Cricetulus griseus: one gene and its partner. The protein of the gene in region 1 purifies or fractionates together with the protein of each later gene. This does not show direct contact. Links are inferred from orthologs where the notes say so. Each region holds a gene or a part of one and is shown in the gene's direction. Other genes may lie near its edges.

Region 1 (8,734 bases):
GTGTATGCCTACACATTGAGTGTGTGACTGTGCCTGTGTGTTGCTGTGTAGGAGTGCATGGTGCAGGTGTGGGGAGGAATTGTTTCAGCTCACTGTCTTCTGAAGCTGCTGTGCTCATCACAGCTTCCTCTCTGGTGGGGACTCTCAGCCTGAAGCTCCCTGCCTTAGTTTCCTCTTTTTGTGAAGCCAAGGTATAGTCAGTCACCTCCAGGATGTATGAAGGAGGGAGACAGTGCCCTCTAGTGGGCAAAAGACATCCCGGCATTCAATGGTCAACGTCCGCCAGCACCCCACAAGTCAAGGTTGGAACTTACCTCCAAAACTCCCCTGAGGAAGGGCAACAAAGCAGGCTCTGTCCCCCCTGAGAAATAAGGCCTGGCAGGTGGGAAAAAGATGTTCATGGGGCACCAGACAGAAAGGGAATCCATGGATGTGTATGAAAGAGGACAACAGTTGAAGATAGCTGATCTCTCTTCATATCCAGTCTCTTTTTCTTTTTTTGGTTTTCTGAGACAGGGTTTCTCTGTGTAGCTTTGTAGACCAGGCCAACTCAAAAAGATCTGCCTGCCTCTGCCTCCCGAGTACTGGATTTAAAGGCGTGTGCCACCACCACCAGGTCATACCCAGTCACTTTTGTGGGGTTTTGTTGGGTATCACATCTGTCTATCTATCTATCTATCTATCTATCTATCTATCTATCTATCTATCTATCTAGTTTGTGTGTGTGTGTGCATATAAAGGTCAGAGGACAACTTGTGGAAGTCAGTTTTCTTCCAACTACGAGTTCTAGGGATCAAATTTCGGTGCTCAGGCATGTCAGCAAGCTCTTTTCTGGCAGCCATCTTACCAGTCCACTTTTTGGTTTTTTGAGACAGAGTTTCTCTGTGTAGCTTTGGAGCCTGTCCTGGAACTCACTCTGTAGACCAGGTTGGTCTCGAACTCACAGAGATCCACCTGCCTCTGCCTCCCGAGTGCTGGGATTAAAGGTGTGCACCACCAATGCCCGGCGCCAGTCCACTTTTATGTGTTTAGTCTTTTCTCACTTCTTTTTCCTGATGTAGCCTCTACCTTGATCCATTCCCACTACCTTGATCCATTCCCTCCTACTGGCTCCATGCTGAAGGATCTGTGGATTGCCTCACATCTGCAATGCCTTGAGCAGAGACTAGACCCTTCTATCTGAACCCTGGGCAAGGAAGACTTCCTGTTGTAGGAATGTAACAATAGGGTATTGAAAAAGAAGTGGGGAGCTGGGTATAGTGGCTTCGGCCATAAACCCAGCTGCTTGGGAGGTGAGACAGAAAGATGAAGAGCCCAGGAGTTCAAGGACAGCAACACAGGGAGAGCCTGTCTTTAGGAAGTTCAGAGGGCTGGAGCTGGAGAGCTGGCTCAGCAGTGAAGAGCACAGCTGCTCTTCTAGAGGATGCTTAGTCCATCCCCAGCACCCACACAGTGGCTCTCCACCAGCTTCCGGTGGTCTGTGTCCAGTTCCAGGGGATCCAACACCCTCTCCTGACCTTCTTAATGTTGCACACACTGTGGTGCATAGTCACACAGGCAGGCAAAATACCCATAGACATTAAATAAATAATAAATAAATAGATCAGAGAGATCAGACATGGTGGTACACGTTTAATACCAGCATTTGGGAGGCAGAGACAGTTGGATCTCTGTGAGCTCAAGGCCAACCTGGTCCACATGGTGAGACCATGTTGAAAAAAAACAACAAAACAATAATAATAGTAATATAATAATAGTGATGATGATATCATCAGGGCCAGCAAAGGTGACTCAGCAGGTAAAAGCACAGAGCCTGGTGGCTTGAGTCTGATTCTGAGCATGGAAAAAGAAAACCATTTGGGAAAGTTGTCTTCTGATCACCAGACACATACTCACACAGAAGGCAAAATAAAAAGATGAGCAAAAATGAGTAGGAGCCAACCGAAAGTCCTGGGGCCGTGGGTGAGCCTAGTATGTCTGGGAGGCTTCAGGTAGCTGGATGCTGGATTGGGGGTCTGTGTCAGAAATGAAGGGATTTCTGTTGTATAGGTCCATCTTAGGGGTGAGCTTTACTAGAAGCAATGAGGAGTTTTGGGCATGATCACATGACATGAACTGAAGACAGGGACAAGGGAGGCTGTCTATCATTCAGAGGGAAAAAACAAAAGAACTGAGGAATGTCTAATGGCAGTGGAAGGTTGAAGAGGGGCTGGACCTCAAGGCTTTTTCTTCTGGGGTTTTGTGTCCTAGCAGTAAAGCTGAGGCCATGAGCAGCCCAGCAGCCAGCTCTTCTAGAACCCAGCACCCTGCCTCTCATCCCAACACATCCCGGGTCTCCTACAAGTGGGATGGGGGTTGGGGAGTAGGGCTAGGCCTTAAATTCCCTAAGGAATGGGAAGGCCCAGGTAGACTTGTTCAGCCTCAAACCTACTCCTGGAACTGCTGAGAAAGAGTTAATCTGCTTTGCCTGTTTCCCTCCCTCCCTTCCCTCTCCTAGGTCACCTTCTTGGCCCTAGAGACTTAGCTGGTGGCTCAAGTTCCTCAACCAGTGGCCCTAGGCAATCAGGGCACAGAGAGGTCAGGATTCCAAGGGTAGGGAATGGGACATTGAGACCCGAGGGAGTCTCAGGACTGATGGGTCTAATGCTAGGGTTTGGGGGGAGCTCTCAGGCTGATTCCCAACATTTCTCCTGCCCCAGGACCTTCTGTCTCCATACTGGCCACAATTTCTTCCACCCACTGGCGAGAACTTCTCACACCCCCCTTCTAAATTGGTTTTTTTGGGGGGGGGGTGTTTGTGTGTGTGTGTGTGTGTGTGTGTGTGTGTGTGTGTGTGTGTGTGTGTGTGTGTGTGTGGTTGGTGGAGAGCAAGGCAAGCTGTGGAAGGGTTAGAAGTTTCTGTCAGCAAGCTTTTCAGCTTCAAGAGTCCCTCCCCCAGTGCTGGGAACTGGTCAGAATTGAGTCTGTGGTCAGTGAGAAATTGCTGCTAATGGAACCTGGGCCACCCCACAAGCCACAAAAAAGGGTGGGGGAGGGAATGAGGACTATATGTGGTGAGCCTGGGGGAAGGATGTGGGCCTAAAATAGAGCTGTAGGTCAGAGGAGAAGGGGAGTTAGGGACTAGCTGGAGGGGACTTGTGGGTCAAGGGAGTGACTGCAGGGATGCGAGGCTGGGGAGGAACATAAACTGGAGGTGACTGGAAGTTAAGTAAGTATCAAAGGAATGATTAGAGGGACCAGAGGCCTGAGGGTAGGCTGAAACAATAGGAGTGATGGGTGGAGAGGAATTAGAGAGCCTGGCTAGTGTCTATGGAGGACCTGAGGCTTGGGTATCCCAGAAGAAGATCCAGATCGAGTGAGAATAAGGCAGAGGGCAGAACTGGGATGCTGAGACCGATGGACATGCCCAGAAGCAGTTGGAGGAAAGAGTAAGCATGGATGACCTGCAGGAGGGAGGCAACTGAGGTCATTCTGAGGAAGGGACCGCATTGGTTGTCACCTCACCTGAGGAGTCTTTCCCAGGGATTTCACTTTGCTAAAAGCCTTCATTCTGCTGGCTGGAGCCAGTGTCAGGCAAAGGTCTTCAGCTCCCCTCCTCCCCAGCAGGCCTCCCTTTCCCACTGCCATCAATTATTCATCAGCACAGACACCGCCCTCTCTAGCAGGACAGTCTGGTCCTCCTCCCTGTGCCTGCCCTGGCTCAGCCACACTGCCACAGAGGCGCTGGTGAGGGAGAACAAACAGCTGGGCCAGTGGAGACTTAGCCAAAGGGCTCCTTAGCTGGCCCTGCTGGATCACACCAGAAGCCCCATCTCCTTCCCTCCGGCACCATCCTCCTGCCCCTGGAGAAGATGCCCATCCAGATCTTTTGCTCTGTGTCATTCTCCTCTGGAGAAGAGGCCCCAGGATCCATGGGAGATATCTGGGGTCCTCATCACCACCGGCAGCAGCAGGACAGCTCAGAATCAGAAGAGGAAGAGGAAGAGAAGGAAAAAGAGGCACTGAAGAGGGAGCTTGATGACGGAGACTCACCTAGGGACTTGGTGGCCTTCGCCAACAGTTGTACCCTCCATGGTGCCAGCCATGTCTTTGTGGAAGGGGGCCCAGGGCCAAGGCAGGCCCTGTGGGCAGTGGCTTTTGTCATAGCACTGGGTGCCTTCCTGTGCCAGGTAGGGGACCGAGTTGCTTATTACCTCAGCTATCCACATGTGACTTTGCTAGATGAAGTCGCCACCACAGAGCTGGTCTTCCCGGCGGTCACATTCTGTAACACCAATGCCGTGCGGTTGTCCCAGCTCAGCTACCCTGATCTGCTCTACCTGGCCCCCATGCTAGGGCTGGATGAAAGTGATGATCCTGGGGTGCCCCTTGCTCCACCGGGGCCAGAGGCCTTCTCCGGGGAGCCTTTTAATCTCCATCGTTTCTACAATCGCTCCTGCCACCGGCTGGAGGACATGCTGCTCTATTGTTCCTACTGTGGGGGCCCCTGTGGTCCCCACAACTTCTCAGTGGTGAGTGGGGCCCATGCTTAGCACAGTACCCCAAGAGTATATGGCATGGTCTCTCTCTCTGGCCATCTGCTCCTGGGACAGGGGCTGAAAACTGCTGAAACCTGCCTGACCTGGGCCAGAGCTCACCTGGAATCTCAGAGTCTGGAGCTGGACTAAGAGCCCTAGGTTCACAGCTCTTCCTAGTTGTGTCTTGAAATATGTCCCCATTGTAATTGGCTGCTGTTCTGATGCCTGGACTATCCTCTAGTCTCATCTGCTCTTCCCCAGACCTCTTCATGCTGTAGCACAGTCCTGCAACTTTGCTCTAGCTACGAAATCAGCCTATAATCTGGGGTGGGGTGGGAGCTATGTTCTGACCAGTTGTTGACTATCATCCCTGGAGTGATAGTGGGGGGTCACCTAGTCTCTAGAGGTGCAGAAGGGGGTCATAGATGGAGGGGATAGCCCCTACCTTCACCTCAACACCATGTCAGCCAATCTCACAGCAGGGATTTAATTGCATCCTTACTTTGTCTTCTGTGCTCTTCCCCATTGGAGTTGATCCTCTACCAGCTCTCTCTCTCTCTCTCTCTCTCTCTCTCTCTCTCTCTCTCTCTTCTCTCTCTCTGTGTGTGTGTGTGTGTGTGAGAGAGAGAGAGAGAGAGAGGGGGGGGGGAGAGAGAGACAGAGACAGAATATGTGAGTGTGTGAGAGTATTGTGAGTGTGTGAGAGAGAGAAAGAGAGAGAGAGAGAGAGAGTGTGTGTGTGTGTGTGTGGTCCATCTATCTGTCTATGAATCTGGGAACCCTCTAAACCAAAGCCCATGCTCCCAGCTCTGATTAAGTGGCCAGGACTTTCTTCCTGAAGGAAGCCATCATTGAAAATGTCACTTTCTCCATTGGTCTCCTATCTGGCCTGATGCCCCTCTGGTCCCTGCAGATTTCAGATGCCTGGCCTTTCTCCATACCCACCCTTCTATGTCCTACCATGTAGGAGCAAATGGGTGTCATCTCAGTCCCTGAAATGATTGTGACCTGGTGGTTTTGGCCACTGGGCCTCAGGGAGGGCAGAAAATACAGGATCACTAACAAGGAAGGTATCTGCTTTGAGGCCCTCAGAGCTCAAGAGCACCCTAACATGCCATGCTTTGTTACTGAACACTCCAATGTGCTGTGCCTTGGTGCTCAGTCCTGAGTCTTGGGGGAGGAGGTGATATGCCTGAGTAAGTTTGGTTCTTGGCATGGCAACTGGGTCTGCTGTCGGATCCTAGTAATAATGGAACAAAGGTGGCCATGAGAGGCTGATAGTGGAAAGAAACTAAAGGGTTTTGAGTGGCTTAGGTATGGAGGAAGGTCTTGGGGGAGGATTTCTAGCTCAGGGGTTGAAATCCCAAAACAAAGATCTGAAGATCTATTTCAGAAAGCCTCAGTGGTTATAGGATCATGGTGATGGAGATGTATATGTAGGATCCTAGCAAGAAAAAGATTGTCACTTGATAGTTCAGTTGAAAAGACTTTAAAAAGGGGGGCTGTCTGCAGAGCTGTGTGTAAGATTAAGGGAGCAATGGGACCAAATTGTTATCACTTCTAGGCTGAAGGTGCACAAAGGGAGTCCTGGCAAGAGCTAGGATCATGGAGGGTCTAAGCCACTGCCAGGGTGGCAAGAGAGAGGCAAGGAGAGGGGATCAGTACTCTCTCTCTCTCTCTCTCTCTCTCTCTCTCTCTCTCTCTCTCTCTCTCTCTCTCTGCATCTGATTCCTTGTGGTTCCCAACCAGAAGCCTATCAGGACTCTCAAGCTCTCTACTGCCTTCCACCAGGTCTTCACACGGTATGGGAAGTGTTACACATTCAACTCGGGCCAAGATGGGCGGCCACGGCTGAAGACAATGAAAGGTGGGACTGGCAATGGCCTGGAGATCATGCTGGACATCCAGCAAGATGAATACCTGCCTGTGTGGGGAGAGACCGGTATGTTACCCTGTTCAGGAGCCCCCTCCCTGAACCCCAGACTCAGACCCTTGTCCTTTCTCCCAAGATCACTCAGCATCTGTCTTTGTTCCTGTGTGACTTCCACACGCTTGGTTCCCTGGCTCCCCCTTCCCGGTTCAGTTACTCTCCAAGGTAACCAGCCATCCTCTTCCATCAGTGGCCGCCACTCACTCTATAAATATCTCCCTCTCTTCTTGGGCTGCCTGCCTGTCTGGTCTCAGGGGACATAGGGGCAGAGAGATGGGGAGAGAGGAGAAAGGGGTGAGGAGAAATGGAGAGTGGCTGAGACAGTGGCCCTCCAGGAGAAATAATCTGAAACACCAAGAAACATCACAGACCAGGTAAGAAAAGACGTGTGTAGGATGCAGAGGTCACTGGGGTACTATGGAACTGCTAACACAGGAGGCTAGAAGTGTGCTAGTACCCCATAGCCTCCTCACCAAGTCCCAGTGGAGACTGCTTATTGTCAGGGGAGTTATGATGCCCCAGGCTCTGAAGATGACCAGGGACTTGGAAACCATCCTAACTCACGTGTCTTCATCTTTACAGACGAGACATCCTTCGAAGCAGGTATCAAAGTGCAGATCCACAGCCAGGATGAACCTCCTTTCATCGACCAGCTGGGCTTTGGTGTGGCCCCAGGCTTCCAGACCTTTGTGTCTTGCCAGGAGCAGAGGGTGAGGGGCTGCAGAAAGCTACTTCTGGGGTTGTGTGTTGAGGAGTCAAGATGGGGTTCTGGGGAACTGGGAAGATGGCTCAGCAGGTAGTGTTTATTATACAAACATGAGGACCTCAACTGAGATCCCTAACATGTGGGTAAAAATCAGGGTGGTACACACCTGTAACCCCAGTTCTGGGCTGGGGGTGTGCAGAGACAGGTGGATCCTTGGGGCTAACTGGCCAAAAATCCACAGGTTCAGTAAGAGATCCTGCCTTGAAAACAATAAGCAGAGAGAAATATCCAATATCTACTTCTATTTCTGAGCTATGCATGGGGCACAGTCATATTCACGTGCATACAACACACACACACACACACACACACACACACACACACACACACACCATACACACACACACACACACACACACACACACACACACACAGGGAGAGAGACAGAAAGAGAGAGAGAGGACAAAAATGGAAGAAATACTTTATAAACCCTAAGACCTTTAGAGGTGCAGGGATACGACTCCTGAGTTCTGTATCTTGCCAGAGAAGTCCACTCGGTGAGTTGGGGGAGAAGTCCGCACACTTCCCCAGCTCCCCGGCTCTCCCAGCAGCTCATCTACCTGCCCTCACCCTGGGGCACCTGCAATGCTGTTACCATGGACTCGGATTTCTTCGACTCCTACAGTATCACCGCCTGCCGCATTGATTGTGAGACACGTTACCTGGTGGAAAACTGCAACTGCCGTATGGTACACATGCCAGGTCAGGCCCCAAGATTCCAAGCAGAGCCCTGGGCTATCTCAGGCTGCACTGCCCCTCACCTGTGCCCCAGCCATATTGGCCTCCCTAATCCTGGTCCCAGATCACTCTGTTTTCTTATCTTTCTGGTTCCTGTCTCTCAGTCCCTGCCTATGTCTACGGGAAGGGATGGAAGGGTCCAGAAGGGGTAGACTGTCAGAGTAGGTCACTTCCGGCGCACAAGGGGTGACTACTCCTACTGTCCCATCTTCCAGCTTCCTCCTTACACAGTACCATGCCATCACAAGACCCCTTAAATCTCTCCCTGTCCCACCATCTTCTCTCCTTTGTAGGGGATGCTCCATACTGCACTCCAGAGCAGTACAAGGAGTGTGCAGATCCTGCCCTGGGTGAGCACCTGACCTGGGACACTTAGAGGGAGGGAAGAAAGTACTGTCTGCCTCATGCACAGGGGAGTGAGATCAAGGTTGAACTCCTGCATTAGTCTGTGCCTCCCGCAGCAGCCTCTAAATGATGAGAACTGCACCATCAAAGGTCCCTCTGGAGAATTAGTAAGGGCCTCTTGGGAGGAGCCTTCACCCTCTTTCAGCCTGAGAGTTGGTCCTTGAGAACCCTGAGGGAATAACATATAAGAGGGAGGTTGGGTGAAGATCAGGACTGAGATGAAGGAGAAGGGAAAGGGACCCTCGGGATCCTTTGGGCAGGGTCAGTATGTCCTTGTTGGGAAGGTCCTGACAGTAGGACGCCACTCAACTAGTGCCTCCTCACATGGGCACAGACTTCCTAGTGGAGAAAGACCAGGAATACTGCGTGTGTGAAATG
Region 2 (8,991 bases), about 20 Mb from region 1:
AAAATAAAATAAAATAAAATGAACTTAGGAATGAGTGAATGGGTCAGACCCATCCCTGACTTCTTGACCCTCACAGTGACCTTCAATGCCATGGACAAGTCAAAGAGTGAGGATCGTATGCGTGTGCTGAGTCACAGCAGCTGAGGAGTGGAGAGTCAGGCACAGCCTGGCATTCAAATGACCAGCCTTACCCATTGTCCACACACCGTAGACTCTCAGGCTCTGCAGTCAGTCCTGAGTCAGCAGGCTCTGACCCGGGTGATGGCTATTTTGGCACTCTTAGGCAGCACTGAAATTAGCCACCAGGGGGAGCACTACCCCAGGAAAAGGATGCGTGGCAGTAGGTGGCTCTGGGGAATGAATCTGATGCAGGGAACCACAGAGGTGCAATCTTGGTGGACCCAGAGGCTGCAACTTGGACATGGTTGCAAGCTTTAAGTGGCATGACTAAGATAAAAGAGAGGTCAGGGTCTGCTTGGAGAGAATGGAGAACAGGGGGCTTGTGCAAGCAGGAATGAATTGAAAGGCAGAGTCGGAGCTTGACAAGGAACCTGAAATGAGTGGTTATCTTCATTCTGTTTTAAACCCCAGGAGCCCTGCTCCTCTTGATGAAAGGCCTAGAAGTCTCTATGAGGTCTCTGCTGAATACTCCACATGTGAAGCTTGCCGGTGATCCCATGAGACATGCGTGGTAGCCTTGTTCTCCAGTCACCATTCCCAGCTGTCTATCTCACCTGGCACACAGATTCTCTGAGGTCAGACACTGTATCCTCACAGCCTGCCTCTAGAAGCCTTTACCTTCCTCTCTTCCTCTGCTGGCACAGAGCACTTCCTGTAGGATGGAGAGCCTCTTCCTCCAGGAAGCCTGCCTTGGTTAGAGCACTCCTCTGGGCCCACACAGTATCCTGCTCTCCAGGGATAGGGAAGCCCTTGTTCAGGAGTATTGGTACACTGAACAGCCCTTTCTGGTATCTAGATACTACATTCTGGACCTCTGACATCTTTGGACAACACCCACAGAACTGTGCAAATGCAGCCTGCAGGACCCTTCTCCAGATTCTCTCTATAGGTCTGAGAAGAGCCCAGGGATCCGAGTTCAGGACACTTCCCAGGTGTGCCACACACAGAAGCATAAGTACTGTAAGGCCCTTTGGAGACATGGTCAGCCCTGCCCTTTGAGATGGTTGGACTACATGGTTTTCCTGTGAGGCAACAATGAGACCTCTGCCACCTGTGTGACAGAGCTCACTCACAAACCACATTTAAATTCCATCCTTTATTGGTTGCCTTGGGAGGATGGTTGCTCTGCAGGCACCCAAGGACTGTAGAAAAATGGCAATTGCCTAAGGTTCCCAGTGAAATGGTGGGGCTTGGACTTATGCTGTTCATCTAGGGGCTGGAAAGGTGAATTTGATGCAAATTCTGGGCTGGAGGGTGCTGCTCCACTGAGCCCAGTTCAGTACCTAACTGGCCTGTGACTCCAGCATAATGGAGGAAACTGGGGCCACTCCTGCTGTCCTGGTCACTTCTCCTTGAACTTGTCCAGTCCTCTGGACCTCCTGAGGCCACCCCAATCGTCCTTCCTGGTCCCCCATAGAGAACCATGTCAATTTCTACAAGCATTTACTCCCAGCCAGATTGTGCTGGTGACTTGCCCCAAATTCCTTGCTATAAAATTGCAGAGCCTGGGTATGAACTAGGGTTGTGTGGGGGAAAGAAGCTGAGGAAGCCCTGGGTTGGATCCCCAGATCCACATCAATTGGGCAAGCAGCACCAAGGACATGAAGGCAGGAGGATAGAACTTTAAGGCCATTCTCAGGTAGTGAACTTGGGCTACATGAGATCTTATCTCAAAACCAAAACCACCATCCTGAAAACAGAGCTTGGCAAAGCCACTCCTGCCACTGACCACATACAATAAAGGGAAGGTGTCTCAGAGTCCATTCTCCATTGCACAGGGTAGCTGCCAGGACTTGTTCCCCTGTCAGGAGGTGGAGATGTACTAGGATTCTCTGACAGTGATCTGAGCCACAGAGCAGTGGGCACAGGGGAAGGTGGTTGCCATGGTGGCATTCAACACACCTGCTGAGATAGTTCAGCTCCCTGCAGGTGATGGGAGGGCTTCCAGAGGACATGTGGATAGTCATCCCATACCACTGTGGGGTCTCTGTGAACACTGAGGTCAGCAAGGTGTCAATCTGGGAGAGGCAAGATGGCAGTTTGGCTCATATGACTCAGTGGCCAGTGCTGGTGCAGCCTTTGGAGTCTTCCCCTTGGGGAGTTTATTTTGGGCATATATAATCAGCACATTTCAGTAAAAAAGTATCCTGGTGATAATTATTCAGTAATGTGCACATCAGACCTTGAGACATGACTACACTGTAAAGGACAAGTGATATCTTCCATAAAGATGGGATGCATCGATGAACTGAGGAAACAAGCTCAAGATAAGGATCTGGGGAAGTATCAAGTGTGGTCTCAGCCTGCAGACAATGCAAAGATCACTAGGCAGTTAACCATGTGCATTGCCTGCCTTCTGGGCAAACAGGTTCTTCATCTCTCCCTTCAAGTGACAACCCTGTGTGTTTAGCACCCCTGGTTCCCCTAGTGGTTATCTGGGAGCACAAGGACATGCCTCCTAATGTACCCTCTAATCGCTGTGTAAGGGCACTGGTGCCACTCTGCCTGGATGAGGTGGTTTCCAGCACTGTGGTCCTAGCAGGGTCATACTCTTCCAGCCATTTTATTTGACATAATCGTTGGCAGCAGGGGTCGGTGCCTGGAGAACATTGGCCTCCCCAGCTGGGAGGCATTGATGGTGTTTGTTGAGCCTGAGGGACATGGGGGCTGTATCTTCAAAAGGACTCCAGGGCTCAAGGGACTAAGGAGGGGGTTTGGTATGATGGAGCTTTTGCCAAAATACCTCAGAAATATTGACTGAATGCTAATAGGATGTATGTGGGGAAACTGAGGTACGTGCAGGAAAGCCAAACCGAATCTGTCCTTTAAAAGCCCACAGAATATACCTCTCGTGGCTCCAAGTTTACCACAGATGTTCAAAGGGCCCCAGACTGGCGGTAGGGGTTTCAGGACCAAGATCTGGATCTTAACACCAACTGTAAGCATCTCTGAACAAAGTTACTCCCTCTCTCAGGAACTTAATTTCTCTGTGAGACTGAGATCTTGAGGGGACTTCCAGCCCTGGCGCTTTGTGGTAGAGGAAACACTGGCTTTCCTTAGGAATCGGTACTGCAAATGTGAGAGCGAAGGCTGTGAGGTCTGCAGTTCACTGAACTTCGTCGGCCCCAAGATGCTTCCGTTGCCCCGGCAACCGCCGGACCTGCGTGGTCCCCAGAGTGCCGCTAAGGAAGCCGGGAAGAGCCCTGCCCTCCCCAAGATGGCGACACAGCCAAGGGAGGAGTCCGGGACCGCTAGAATGTCTAGACCTTTCCTTCCTTTCCCTTCTTTTCACACGAACAGCGAACTTCCACCAACACTTGTTCTTTTTCCTGGTTCAGAGAGTCTCGGAGCGGAGAGAAAAGGATTGCCTGCAGGGATTGGGGCAAATACCCAAGGGGAGAGGCGGGACTTCCGCGTCCTGCCGGAAGTGACGAGACAGTCGCGATCGCCGCCAGGTGGAACGGCAGGTGGGTTCAGGTGCCAGCCTGGCCCAGGCCTGGCTGTGGGACCGACTCTCTCGGTGAGCGACCGAAGAGGCTCCCAAGGGTCTGGAGACCGCAGGGCGGATTCTGGAATCCGAGCCCATCGCCCTGGCCTGGGGTCGTCCCCTGTACCAAGTAAGAATCACCTGCCCGCCTTCCAGCCTTAGGCTCCCTACCCCAGTTCGGAGGGGAGGACCAGAGGCCCGCTGTCCTGGATGGGGGAGGGGTGGGAGCTTGGGGCTGGCATCTGGGCACTTCAGTTCCCCGAAGCCCTGTTTTTTTCTCTCCCAGACCCAGTTCCCCATTCCCCTCCCGAGCTGGGCAGTTAGCCAGTCGGCCCCAACTCTTGGAACCATGTTTGCAGACTTAGACTATGACATCGAGGAGGATAAATTGTGAGTATTTTCTTCCCCAAGACCTGGGAGCTGAGGACCCAGGTCCCTCGTGTCCTTGGGTGTCCTAGCTCCACACACTTTTACTTCTCGGCGTCCAGAAGCAGAAATGGGCCCAGTCATCACTTCTGAGGGGTGTGACAGATTAACAGATAAATGACGATTCAGGCTGTGTAAGCCCTATGGCATGATCCATCCACAACACAGCAGGTGGAGCTGTCCTGCTGGGGTGGTCTGGGAAGGTGGCAACCTAGCCAGGGTTGCAAAGGCTGCATGGGGATATCCCTGACCTTCCTCCCCAGCATAGATGACCAATAAGGTAGACTTTCAAGAATTAGAAGGTACTCCCAGAGTGTGGAGTAGATTTCATGGCCTTGTGTGTTTTTAATCCTTAGTAAGGGGTGAGCAGTCATTGGTTGTTAGCAAATCGGTCTTCAGTAACCAAGCTGACACCTGAGCCTGTTCATTACAAGACACACCTAAGCTCATTGATAGCCAATGCTGGGTGGTAACTGACAGTATAATTGGAAGATGGCTGGAGGATAGTTGAGTAACTTTATTCTAAAAGGAAGGTGGCTATAATGTCCTGCAATTGCCTGAGATGGGGACAAGGACATAGCCCGGCTGAATCTTTAAGTTTGTTTCCTTGGACTAAGATGGGGAGAGCCTTCCATGCGCATTTCATGTAAGGTCTCTGACCAGGGAGCCTCATTTCACTTTATGGATGAAGAGAACAGATGCAGAGAAAGTTCCTGACCTGAGTCCCATAGCGGATATGGCAGCTCTGGGCTTCGATCCTGTAGTCATGACTCCTGAGCATGTTCTGGTACCAATGTTCTTGCGTAGGAAAAGGCTACTCTGTGTAGCCTGCTCCTTTCAGTCATCCTTTCTCCAGAATTCACCTTCACTTGCTTCTATTTGCAGAGGCATCCCCACTGTGCCTGGGAAGGTCACCCTGCAGAAGGATGCTCAGAACCTGATTGGGATCAGCATTGGAGGAGGGGCCCAGTACTGTCCCTGTCTCTATATTGTCCAGGTATGAGGCACACTTTGGAGGTGGGGGCAGAGTCCTGGGTAGAGTGAGTCACCTCCCTTCTTGGGTGTGACAGAAAGAGGTGCGTTTCTCCACTTTGAAAAAGCTAGCTCCAGGGGCTGGAAGATGGCTCAGTCAGTACAGTGTTTGCCATGCAAGCTTGAGTAGCAGAGTTTGATCCCAAGCACCTGAGTAAAACACCGGTGTGTGGTAGTGTGCTCCTGTCACCATAGTGCTGGGGAGGTGGAGACAGGTGGATCCCTGGGCTTCACTAGCCAGTCAGTCTAGCCTAATAAGTGAGTTCCAGGCCACAAAGAAACACTGAATCCAAAAAAAAGAAAGAAAGAAAGAAAGAAAAGAAAAAACAAGTGGTTGATACCTGAAGAATGAAAGCAAAGAGTGACTGACCAACACACACTTGTGTGTGGAAACATATACACAGAGACACAAAAGTCTATCTTGTTTCTTTAAAATTTTATGATTGGTATTTGCTTTTTTATGTGTGTTTGATGTGTGTGTGTGTATGTGAGTGTGTGTGCCCTTATGTTATGGCGAACATACAGAGGTTAAAGGACAACCCTCAATCAGTCAATTTTCTACTGTGAGATCACAAGTTTGAAATCCACAAACAATCAGATTTGCATAGTAAGCACTGCACTAGCCGAGGAATCTCAGCAGGCCTTCTTGTTTTTGAGGTCTGTTCTTAGCAGGGCTGGCCACCACTCTAAGTGGGACTGTCCCTATTGTTTTTCACCTGTTTGCTTACAGCTTGTTCTGATCTAGCTATCTGGCAGACTCTTGGCCTTACATCATGTGTATTCAACTGAAGTTAGTGCTGGTCCGTGACTAGTGTGTAATAGACGTTCAGTAACAGTCTCCGATGAATCTGTTTGCCAACTGAAGTAGGAAGGCTGTGAAATAATAATGTCCTTGCTGGGCATGGCCCCATATACCTGTGGCCCCTGTACTTAGAGGTGGAGGCAGGGAGGATCAACAATTCTAAGTCATGCCCAGCTACACAATGAATGAGTTTGAGGCCAATGTAGGCTACTTGAGACCCTGTCTCAGCAAATAAAGGAAAGAAAATGGTAGCCCAAGATTCACATGAATATCCCCGAATACCAGTGAGTTTCTTATTCACTCTAGGTCTCAGTTTTCTGATCTGAAAAGTGAGGGTTTAAAGTATGTAACCCATGTTTAGTTCCCAGCACTCCTATCAGGAGGTCACAGACACCTATAACTCAAGTTCCATGGGATCTGATGCTGTCTTCTGTTGTCTCCAGTCCCTGCATACATATGGTACACAGACATTCATTCACACATACATACGAAATTTTGAAAGTTAAATAAATGCACAGGGCCAGGCACTTAGGCAGCTGCACCTAGTCACAGCTGCTATGGTTCCTGGCAGCTGCGCCTTTCCCAGCTGCTATGTTAGTGTTAGGGGAGCCACCCTGTGATCCAGCCACTGCTGTGCAGGTGGGGCAGGCCTGTCACGAGGCCTCCTTCACCAGGTGCCTGGCCAATCTGTGACATTTCTGTGGCCTTGGGAGGATCCACACTCTACCCTATTGGGATACCTAGCAGAGTAGGCCTCGGGCAGATAGGACATTGGGTCTTTGGGAGGATCATCTGCTCCTGCCTCTACCTATGAGGGTGATTTGGTCTCCTCTGCCCCAGGAGACATGAGGGAGGCATTTCCCAGGTTCCTCCTAGTCACATGCCTGCTCAGCATCTGTGCCACTCCCCTCAGCCCTGTGGGTTCAGGACCCGAAGGGCATGCTTGTTTGCATGAACTGCATTATAACATGATGGGGTTTGTTGTGTTTGCGTATAGCAAGTCAGGTGCAGGAGGCCTGTGTCTGCCAGCAGTTCGTGCCCTCTCTCACCCTGCCCTTCAGCTACTGCCGCAGATATGACTCCCCTGCTTTCCTTGGTTTTGTTATTACTTTTAATTATGTGTGTGTGCGTATGTGTGTGCACTTGAGTCCATGCAGACCAGGTGTCAAATCCCTCTGAAGCTAAGTGGGGACTGGGAACTGAACGTGGGGCTTCTGTAAATCAGGATGCACTCTTAATTGCTGAGCCACCTCTCCAGCCCTCCTGGTTTTGTTTGTTTTCTTGATTGATCACTTGTTCTTGGTTCAGGAGATAAGAGTTCAACTCTCTTCTAAAACCACATATCTCCCTCTTACCCTATCTTCCCATCACAGTCACTGTTTTGACTCAGTATTAGCACCACAGGCAACATTCGAGAAACATTTTCTAAATCCCTGTCTAGCTCTGAAGGCCAAGCGGATGGAAAAGGGACAGAAACAAGCCTCACCCTTCTGTAGCACTTAGGTTGAACTTTCTGATGAACTGGTGTCTTTGTGTCTTTCTTTCTCTATTTATTATTTTTTGTTTGTTTGTTTTGAAGCAGGGTTTCTCTGTGTAGCTTTGGAGGCTATCCTGGAACTCACTCTGTATATCATCAGGCTGGCCTCAAACTCAACTCGCCTGCCTCTGCCTCCCGAGTGCTGTGATTAAAGGCGTGTACTTACTAATGTGTGTGTGTGTGTGTGTGTGTGTGTGTGTGTGTGTGTGTGTGTGTGTGTGTGTGTGTTTTGCCTGCATGTGTATCTGTATACCACATCCATGCCTGGTGCCTCTGGAGGCCAGAAGAGGGCATCAGATCCCCTGGGACTATAGTTATAGACAGTAGTGAAACACCATGTGGGTGCTGGGATTCCAACCCAGCTCCTCTGGAAGAGTGGCCAGTGCCCTTAACTGCTGAGCCACCTCTTTAGTCTTGAGTTGCAGGCCTTTAATCCCAGCACTCGGGCAGGTGGATCTCTGAGTTCGAGGCCAGCCTGGTCTACAGAGCAAGTGCCAGGACAGGGCCCAAAGCAATACAGAGAAACCCTGTCTCAAAAAACAAAAACAAGCAAGCAAACAAAAAAAGCAGAGTCTCATGTAGCCTACACTGGCCTCTTATTCCCCATGTAGCTGAAGCTGGCCTTGAACTACTGATCCTCCAGCTTATACCTCAAGTGCTAGACTTAGAGGCATGTACCGCCATGCTCAGCCCATTTTCTTTTTAGCAGAGCTTCTTATTGTCATTGGTATTTCCTGCTATTTGCCCCCATGTGATCTTCTTGCTTTCTGAATAGACTTTTCACAGTCAGACTTTCCCATCCTGTTCAGGCTTCTGTCTGTCCTCAGTCTAACCCCTTGGGAACCTTTGCTCTTCATTCCCAGTCCCAGGCCCCCCTTTTGGCCTCCGTCCCCATCTGGATGGAGCACGTCCTCTGGCTTTCTGAGGAAGAGCAGATGGACAGTGTATATTCTAGAGATCTCTTTTGAATTTCTGTTAATGTTGTTCCCTTACTCCTTGAACATGAGCTCAAGTTCAGGAGTGAAGGTCAAAGGGCTGGGGAGGCGCAGTGGTAGGGTATGTGCCTAGAGTGGTCCATCCCCAACACTTAAAAATAATAAGTTTGGAAATAAGTTTCACTTAGAACTTTTGAAGAATGTTTATTTTTTTAGATTTATGTGTGAATGCTTTGCCTTTGCGTATGTGTGTGCACACCATGCATGCCTGGTGCCCATGGAGGTCAGAAGAGGGCATCAGATCCTCTGGAAATGCAGTTACAGATGACTGTAAACCACTATATAGGTGCTGAAACCTGAACTCAGGTCCTCTGCAAGTACAACAAGTGCTCGTAACCACCGAGTCATCTTTCCAGCCCTTAACACACACACACACACACACACACACACACCACCCCCTACCCCCCACCCCGTTTTTCAAGACTTTCTCTGTGTAACAACTCTGACTGTTTTGGAACTAGCTTTGTAGACCAAGCTGGCCTTGAACTCACAGATTGTCTGCCCCTGCCTCCTAAGTGCTGAGATTAAAGGA

The links.
Region 2: the proteins of Asic1 (region 1) and Pick1 purify together in Homo sapiens (affinity purification with western blotting; 3 studies listed by BioGRID and IntAct, with this or other methods). This does not show direct contact. The link is inferred for Cricetulus griseus from reciprocal best matches to the Homo sapiens genes ASIC1 and PICK1.

What each region holds. Positions count from the first base shown.
Region 1 is NC_048595.1:396,128,569-396,137,302, forward strand, and holds the start of Asic1 (acid-sensing ion channel 1), read left to right. Parts: upstream 1-3,851; coding exon 3,852-4,511; intron 4,512-6,308; coding exon 6,309-6,459; intron 6,460-7,029; coding exon 7,030-7,157; intron 7,158-7,764; coding exon 7,765-7,915; intron 7,916-8,244; coding exon 8,245-8,301; intron 8,302-8,690; coding exon 8,691-8,734. UniProt on the Homo sapiens protein: Forms voltage-independent, pH-gated trimeric sodium channels that act as postsynaptic excitatory receptors in the nervous system, playing a crucial role in regulating synaptic plasticity, learning, and memory.
Region 2 is NC_048595.1:376,343,409-376,352,399, forward strand, and holds the start of Pick1 (PRKCA-binding protein), read left to right. Parts: upstream 1-3,385; 5' UTR 3,386-3,647; exon of another isoform or gene 3,648-3,797; intron 3,798-3,953; 5' UTR 3,954-4,016; coding exon 4,017-4,057; intron 4,058-4,978; coding exon 4,979-5,090; intron 5,091-8,991. UniProt on the Homo sapiens protein: Probable adapter protein that bind to and organize the subcellular localization of a variety of membrane proteins containing some PDZ recognition sequence.